Linked DNA regions of Rattus norvegicus. The protein of the gene in region 1 interacts with the protein of each later gene in a pairwise test. Links are inferred from orthologs where the notes say so. Each region holds a gene or a part of one and is shown in the gene's direction. Other genes may lie near its edges. The genes, in order: Kcna3 and Cav1.

What was found.
Region 2: the proteins of Kcna3 (region 1) and Cav1 come close enough for resonance energy transfer, tested with the Homo sapiens proteins (2 studies listed by BioGRID). The link is inferred for Rattus norvegicus from reciprocal best matches to the Homo sapiens genes KCNA3 and CAV1.

The regions. Positions count from the first base shown.
Region 1 is NC_086020.1:197,318,914-197,322,913, forward strand, and holds Kcna3 (potassium voltage-gated channel subfamily A member 3), read left to right. Parts: upstream 1-1,410; 5' UTR 1,411-1,664; coding exon 1,665-3,242; 3' UTR 3,243-3,364; downstream 3,365-4,000.
Region 2 is NC_086022.1:46,605,131-46,609,446, forward strand, and holds the start of Cav1 (caveolin-1), read left to right. Parts: upstream 1-1,407; 5' UTR 1,408-1,562; coding exon 1,563-1,592; intron 1,593-2,137; exon of another isoform or gene 2,138-2,290; intron 2,291-2,841; exon of another isoform or gene 2,842-3,018; coding exon 3,019-3,183; intron 3,184-4,316. UniProt on the Homo sapiens protein: May act as a scaffolding protein within caveolar membranes. Forms a stable heterooligomeric complex with CAV2 that targets to lipid rafts and drives caveolae formation. Mediates the recruitment of CAVIN proteins (CAVIN1/2/3/4) to the caveolae.

The DNA.
Region 1 (4,000 bases):
ACGATAGGGTCCCGAACTCAGAAGTATCTCCCAGGAGCAGACGGGAATAAATACAAAGCATCTCTTGCTGCGGAATTCAACACAATAAACAAATGCTGAGTCCCCGTGATTTCCAAGGTGCTCTGACAGTTGCTGACAGTAGAAGTTGGGCAAGCCCTCGTTGCCATAGAGTTTGGTGGTTGGGGGAGGTGGTAGGAATGACAACAAATCACTCTTGCATCAAATTGAATTTTCAGCTCACTTCGGAGAATGAGTGGTGTACGTCTAGACAATAGTTCCTCTTTCGCAATCAACAGTAATGATTCAAGGGAAAAACAACAGAATTTTGTAACTCTGGTACTTATACTTGGGGTAGCTAAAATGTTTGGGAACAGAAATTATGTTTAAAGCAACCAGTACACTTTGAAGAAACAGTTGGGGGAGGGGGTGTAAATGTTTTTCTGTAGGCCCAAATCAAGCAAGAGAGGCACCATCTGCAAAATGAAGGCTTTTTCCACATTATCAGCTAAAGCACACCTCAAGCTCCCTACCACACAGGTGTCATGGTATTAAGTAAACTCTAGGTATCAGGCCTGTTTATCACACAGTAAGGTGTGGTGAATTTTCGTTACCACCCCCCCCCCTTATTTTTCCCACTGTCCTGACCAGAAACTTGGCCCTGATTTTATAATGCTTGCCCACACTGAGCTAGCATTATAAAAGTGAGATCTCTGAATGCCTTTAAGGACCCTCTTTTTAAGCTACTGGGAAGACTTTAGACCCTACGTTACCCATTAACTCAGTTCTGCTTCCTTACAGCATCAACACCCAGGTTCTAGCATTCTTCTACCCCAGGATGCTGGGCCCAGAGTATCCTGAACTAGCACAGACAACCTAGCTTGCAGCCCCTCCTCCCAAGACACTCAGGGTCAGGAGGCTCAGCCAGCCCTGGCCCTCGTGCTTAGGACTTTTGTTACCTATTCTGGTGGAACTTGCCCTTCCTGCTGCCCAGACAAAGTATTAAAGAGTGTTAAGGACCAGGAGGGCCTTCGAGTGCTGAGGTGTGGTCCTTGCGCGGTTCTAATAGCCCTGAGATTAGGACTCGACCACGCGCAGGAAGGGAACGCGCGCTGACCAGGGGCGAGCAAGTAGAGCCCAGGAACGTGGTCGGGCGGCCGGGTTCCTCCAAGGCCAGTCTGGCAGGGTAGGGGTTCCGCGGGGTCTGGGTAGTGGGGTGCAAGTCGAAGGCGACCCAGTGACAAAAGAAGGGCGAGGAACAGGGGTGGCAAGCGGAAAGCGGAGCGCGCGCGCGCAGTGGGCGGGAAACCCGGGGGCGGCGGCAGAGAGGCGGGCGCGCGCCTCGCGGGGAGGGGTGCGGAGGAGGGAGGAGGAGGCGTCTGGACGGTGCAGCCGGGCGGGCCGCGCCAGCCCTGACAGAGCCTCGCGGCAGCCGCAGCAACAGGCGGCGGGGCCGGGCTCGTGGGGCAGAGGCGGTGGTGGGGCGGGGAGCTCCAGGAGGAGCGACTCGGAGCTGGCCACCGCCAGCAGGGAAGGAGAGCATCGCCGCCTCCCGCGCTCGGCCGCCGCAGCCCTCCGCCCGCCACCGCGCCCACCCTGCGCTGGACCCCGCGGGCGGCGGCGCGCGCATCCTGCAGAGCCCAGGCTACGCCGAGCTGCCGCCAGACATGACCGTGGTGCCCGGGGACCACCTGCTGGAGCCAGAAGCGGCGGGAGGCGGCGGCGGGGACCCGCCTCAGGGAGGCTGTGTCAGTGGCGGCGGCTGCGACCGCTACGAACCGCTGCCGCCCGCGCTGCCCGCCGCGGGCGAGCAGGATTGCTGCGGGGAGCGCGTGGTCATCAACATCTCCGGGCTGCGCTTCGAGACACAGCTCAAGACCCTCTGCCAGTTCCCTGAGACGCTGCTAGGCGACCCCAAGCGGCGCATGCGATACTTCGACCCGCTCCGCAATGAGTACTTCTTCGACCGCAACAGACCCAGCTTCGACGCCATCCTCTACTACTACCAGTCCGGGGGCCGCATCCGCCGGCCGGTCAACGTGCCCATCGACATCTTCTCCGAGGAGATCCGCTTCTACCAACTGGGTGAGGAGGCTATGGAGAAGTTCCGTGAGGACGAGGGCTTCCTGCGGGAGGAGGAGCGACCTCTGCCCCGCCGTGACTTCCAGCGCCAGGTGTGGCTGCTCTTCGAATACCCCGAGAGCTCCGGGCCGGCCCGGGGCATTGCCATCGTGTCAGTGCTGGTCATTCTCATCTCCATTGTCATCTTCTGCTTGGAGACACTACCCGAGTTTCGCGACGAGAAGGACTATCCCGCCTCTCCGTCGCAGGACGTGTTTGAGGCTGCCAACAACAGCACGTCGGGGGCCTCCTCTGGAGCCTCCAGCTTCTCGGACCCCTTCTTCGTAGTGGAGACCCTGTGCATCATCTGGTTCTCCTTTGAGCTGCTGGTGCGATTCTTTGCTTGCCCCAGTAAAGCCACCTTCTCCAGAAATATCATGAACCTGATAGACATTGTAGCCATCATCCCTTATTTTATTACTCTGGGCACTGAGCTGGCTGAGCGACAGGGTAATGGGCAGCAGGCTATGTCACTGGCCATCCTGAGGGTCATCCGCCTAGTAAGGGTCTTCCGCATCTTCAAGCTCTCCCGCCATTCTAAGGGGCTGCAGATCCTGGGACAGACACTGAAGGCTTCCATGCGAGAGCTGGGGCTGCTCATTTTCTTCCTTTTCATTGGGGTCATCCTTTTCTCCAGTGCAGTCTACTTTGCTGAGGCAGACGACCCTTCTTCGGGTTTTAACAGTATCCCGGATGCCTTCTGGTGGGCCGTGGTAACCATGACAACTGTCGGTTATGGTGATATGCACCCAGTGACCATAGGAGGCAAGATTGTGGGCTCTCTTTGTGCCATCGCAGGTGTCTTGACCATTGCATTGCCGGTTCCTGTGATTGTTTCCAACTTCAATTACTTCTACCACCGGGAGACAGAAGGGGAAGAGCAAGCCCAGTACATGCACGTGGGAAGCTGCCAGCACCTCTCCTCTTCAGCAGAGGAGCTCCGAAAAGCCCGGAGTAACTCCACTCTGAGTAAGTCGGAGTATATGGTGATCGAAGAGGGGGGTATGAACCACAGCGCCTTCCCCCAGACCCCCTTCAAAACGGGCAACTCCACTGCCACTTGCACCACCAACAATAATCCCAACTCCTGTGTCAACATCAAAAAGATATTCACTGATGTCTAATAGATGATACGATTGCCATTCTGTGCCCAGTATTGTGTGGAACATGCCCCCTTGGTCTGTGTATGCCCTTGATTTATACATTTCCAGACCATTCATCAAGGAAAGTACATGAAGAAGTGGAAAAGCACACTTCATTCTCCCTCTCCCTATTGCTTCATACTGAAACAGGTGCCTGGTTTTGCAAGTGGGCTGCATTCTCTCAGCTCTTTTTCTCTCTCCCTCTCTCTCTCCCTGTTTCTTAATTTTGTGAACAACAAACTTACATTAAGCTTGGTTTCTTGTGCAAGCCCTAAAGCTACATCCTGAGAGGAAATGAAACTATAGAGTCAGAGTAACTGTGTGACCTCAAAAATCAAAAGATAGTTGTTTCTTTACTAAGTAAAGGAGGCAGAACTTAAATGATGCTCCTGTTCGGTGGACTTTTCAGCATTATTTCCTGACTAAGTGTAACTACTTAACCTCTGGATGTGTGGGTGGAAAGTCTAACTAGAGTGTTGACGTGTAAACCCTCTATAATTTTTTTTTTGGACTGGCCTTTCAGTATGAATCTCCCCTCTAAGAATTTCAGGTTCACAATAACTTTGAACCAAAAGGGAAATGCCCCAAATGTCCTGATCTGACTATTAACTCTTCGGAGTTTGCAAAGCATTTTGAAAACATTAGACACAGATTCCAATGAAGTTGTGAGTTCATGCCCAAGTCAATATCTACGAAAGTCTAGAAACTCATTTTCAGTGCTGCCAGGAGAAACAACAGAA
Region 2 (4,316 bases), on another chromosome or scaffold:
AAACTGAGGAAATGAGCCTTTTGGAAGATCTTTAATCTCATGGTGAACAGCCAGCACATGTTACCTATTGTTTACCACACTGACTTTCTCCCTGCCATTCCTAACTAAAATCCATCCTTTTATTTCTAACACTGTACTGCTAACCACCCTCATTTGATCAGTATGACATACGCAAGTGTTGAAGTAGCACACTGCACCCCACTAACATTACGCTAATATCACATGCTAATAAAACAATAATTAAATTACTTACAAATAATATTTATAATTTATAATTCCTCATACATTGATAATTAATTAATTAGCAATTAATTCAAAGGATAGATTGTCTCTTTTCCCTCTAAGCAGGACCCAGATGATGAGTTCTTTTATCTATTTTCAGGCCCCAGGTTTTGTCTTCAAGACCCCATGCTCCTGCTTCTTGGTGGCCATTTTAAAATGTACTCTCTGTCCCATTCAGAGTACTACGGAAGTATTTGCATAGGAACGCTTAGGTAAAACATCCCTTTCATCCTTATTGGGGGTGGTGAGCTGCTGAGTTGCTGTCTCTAATTAGTAAAACGCAACCATGATTTATATTATTCCTCTTTACAATAAAACAAAAGGAGGTTGGTCAGCTTTTGAAACTGATATTTAGTTGTTAACATAAAAAAATTTTGTCAGACAACAACAACAACAACAACATATTCTCTCACAGCCAAGCACATATTCCTGGGCCAGTATCCTCTGCGGCAGAGGATGTAGTTCAGTGACAGAGTGTTTATCTCTAGGTAAAATGCACAAAGCCCTGGGTTTGATCTCAAGCCAAGGAGGGAAAAATCCTCTCTGGTAACAAGCTTGAACCTCCAAGTAAAATTTTCTGCAGTTGAAAACATTCAAAGTGCTTTATGATTACGGTATAACCTGTTGGTAGGAACTTCATTTTCTTTATTGCAGAGGCGCCCACACAGATTCCTTCGCTGTGTTTATATAAAAAATGTTCCCTCAGGTTCCCAGCCATCTCTTCTCTATCTTTCTCTGTGAAACAAGAAGAGAGATCAGTCCTAGTGGGTAATGGAACGTGGGCGAAGCGGGAAGGGAAGCGGCTTAGGATAGGGCAGAATTCTTTCCGTGGAGCCGGATGCCCATACTGGGCATCTCAGCAAACTCTTGTGCTCCCTCCACCCCTGCTGAGATGATGCACTGGGAAAACACGCGCTCTCCCCTGGATGCCTCTCTGTTGGTTTATAGCTGGGAAAACGTTGCCGCGGGTCTAAAATATCTGCCCAAACAGACAGCCTAGCTCTGATGAAGGCTTTCTCACAGGCTCTCAGCTCCCCGCGGGCGCTCCCCGCCCTCCGCTGCCAGAACCTTGGGGATGTGCCTAGACCCGGCGCAGAGCACGTCCCAGCCAACTGAGAGCAGAACAAACCCCTGGCCAACAGCCAAGAGGCTCCCTCTCAGCCACCGCCCCCCGCCAGCGCCTTTCCCCCTCTATACAATACAAGATCTTCCTTCCTCAGTTCTCTTAAATCACAGCCCAGGGAAACCTCCTCAGAGCCTGCAGCCAGCCACGCGCCAGCATGTCTGGGGGTAAATACGTAGACTCCGAGGTAGGCTTGGGTGAGGGCGCGCCGGCTCCAAAGTGCCTGCTTTTGCTATCTCGCACTCCAAATGCTCGGGCTGCTTTCCTAGCCCCAGCCCTCTCTCCACCTTCACAGCACTCGAGCTGGTACCGCGGAGGAATGGGCTGGGTGGGGAGGTGAAAAGCTAGGAATGCCTTAGGGCTTCCTTTTGGAGAGGGGACCAAAGGAGCCAACGGAGAAAAGAAGAACCCCCGGGTACTGTTTTATGAGTCTGAGTCTGCCAGACTTAGAGAAGTTTTCCAGATGACACTGTTCGCGAGACCCCCCTGCGGCGGTCCAGCCCCTACCTACTAAGAGGCTTAGAGCTGGTGGGGTGTGTGTGTGTGTGTGTGTGTGTGTGTGTGTGTGTGTGTGTGTGTGTGTGTGTGTTCGGGTAAAGGAGATTCATTTGCCCGCAGTCCTGAGGACAGCCCCCCGCAGGAGCCTAAAGTGGCTGGCATGGGCGGCGCCGTGCGTGTATAGCACTTAGCGAAGTTCTCGAGAACTTCAATAATTCTGCCCCTGAGAGGCCCGGAGGAGGTCCGAGGTGGGGGAGCCTCTTTCCTCACGAGTACCACCGCCATTGTCAACTACTTCTTGGTACTCTGGTGGACTGAATGTGGCGACCTGGGTTCCCCAATATGACTACGGTTCAGCCTGGAGTAGACAGCCTGGGGGTGATCTAAGTAAGGGTGGGTGAGGGAGTCCTTCAGGTGACATTTCGTTCTGGGGCATGGGGGCGGGGTGAGGGGTCTTGGTACATGCCTCTGTTTAAAGAAGTGTGTTAGATTGTGACCCACTTATTCACCCCCACGGCCTAAGGAACACCGTGGAGCACGGGGTGGAGTGGGGAGGTAAAAAGGGTAGGGGCTGCAGCAGGTGCAAGGGAGAAGCACTGAGGGACAGAGAAGATAGGATCATTAAGTCTGTCAGCAGGGTCCAGAGGGATCTTGATAATGTTGGAAGGGATCGTAGGACGGGGTTAACGGTTCAGAGAGGGACAGAGGAGCAGGTGAGGTTGAGGGACACGGGTGGCCTGGTGGAGAGAAGGAATACAGAGGAGGCGGAAAGCGAATCCCAACCCCTGGCCTAGGGAGCTACAGTCGGGAGTCGCGAGGAGTAGGAGGGCGCATGGGGCTTCGCCCTGACCCCTGGCGGCGGCGCGGGAGGCAGGCGCTCCCCGCCTGGTACCGAGGGGTGTGGTGTCCTCCGCTCCGTCCTCTTAAAAAGCTTGCAGCGTTGGAGTTTTCTGTGTGCAAAGCCTTTCTCCTGGGAGGTTGAAGCTAGCAAAAGTTGGAGCTCCAGGCTCCCCCCACCAACAGCCAGGCTGACTCTTGACTCTTGTTTTTCTTTCTGAACTCTTCTTCCCACCGCTGTTGCCGCCCTCCCCTGGCTTGGCCGGTTGCCCTCACAGGGACATCTCTACACTGTTCCCATCCGGGAACAGGGCAACATCTACAAGCCCAACAACAAGGCCATGGCAGACGAGGTGAATGAGAAGCAAGTGTACGACGCGCACACCAAGGAGATTGATCTGGTCAACCGCGACCCCAAGCATCTCAACGACGACGTGGTCAAGGTAAACACTGGTTGCTGTTTGCGTCCCTCAATGTAGTCTCCTAAGCTTTGGCAGACTGGCACTGTCTTTTGAGCTTAGCAGTGTGTGAGCCCCTGCGGGTCCAGTGTCAGAAATGTCGCATCTGCCAGCCTCCTCCTGCTGGCTAGTTCAGTAGGAATTTAGCCAGTTGTTGTGGGGGGGTGGGGAGTCCATAGACCCCCAGCCCCACACATGCACATTATTTCGGAACGGACGATGATTATGGTCCATTGGAAGGTTAAAGTCCAGTTACAGGTCTTTTATTTGTGGGTGAAACAATTGTGTGAGACTTTAGGTGAATATTAGGACGCAGAATGAGCATATCCCTTCAGCTAAATAATCTAAATGATTAGCCTAAAAATAGTAAATGAGTGGAAATGCTTCCAACCGTTAACATATGCAGATATATGTACAACTTTTGTATGCAGTGTGTGTGTGTGTGTGTGTGTGTGTGTGTGTTTAACTCTAAAAACATAGCACACGTGCATGGGCAAGCCAATTTACCAAACTGAAAATCATTTCCACCTCTTGACTTCTGGATCCCTCTAGTTAAATGTGTGCATCTGTGGTGAAAGCCAAGGTCAGCCTGCCCTGGGCTAAGAGAACACAGGCTGGTGTTCCATTTTACATTTTCAAGATGTACTTGCTGGGATTTAAAATACATTACTTTCCTGAGATGTTGACCCATGTAGACCTGACACAGTGGTCTGACTTTCATTATCAGTTCGTTATTCAACTTTGACCCTTTCAACAATTCTGGCTCAAGGAATTTCTTGTCTGAATCCGACTGGGTTGAGAAATCCTGGACTTGAGCTGTCCTTGGCAGAGGGTTTCCTCTGAGTGGCCTGGAGGGCCAAGGAAAATCCTAGCTTCGGGGGTTCCAGTGGGAAGGTGCTGTCCTGCCCAGCCCCTAATTCACCACTGAGGAGTGATGCGGCTTCCACCCACAGTCTCCTATCTAAGGATGGGAGGAGCTCCAATAGAGTTTCACCTTCATGAATAATATATTTCAGAAAGAGAAATAGTTTTCATCTACAACTGCAGGGAAAGTGTACCTGTCAAAATTGACTCTCTTGCTTTTCTGGGAGAGGGAAAGGAAAATTGGACCATTTTCT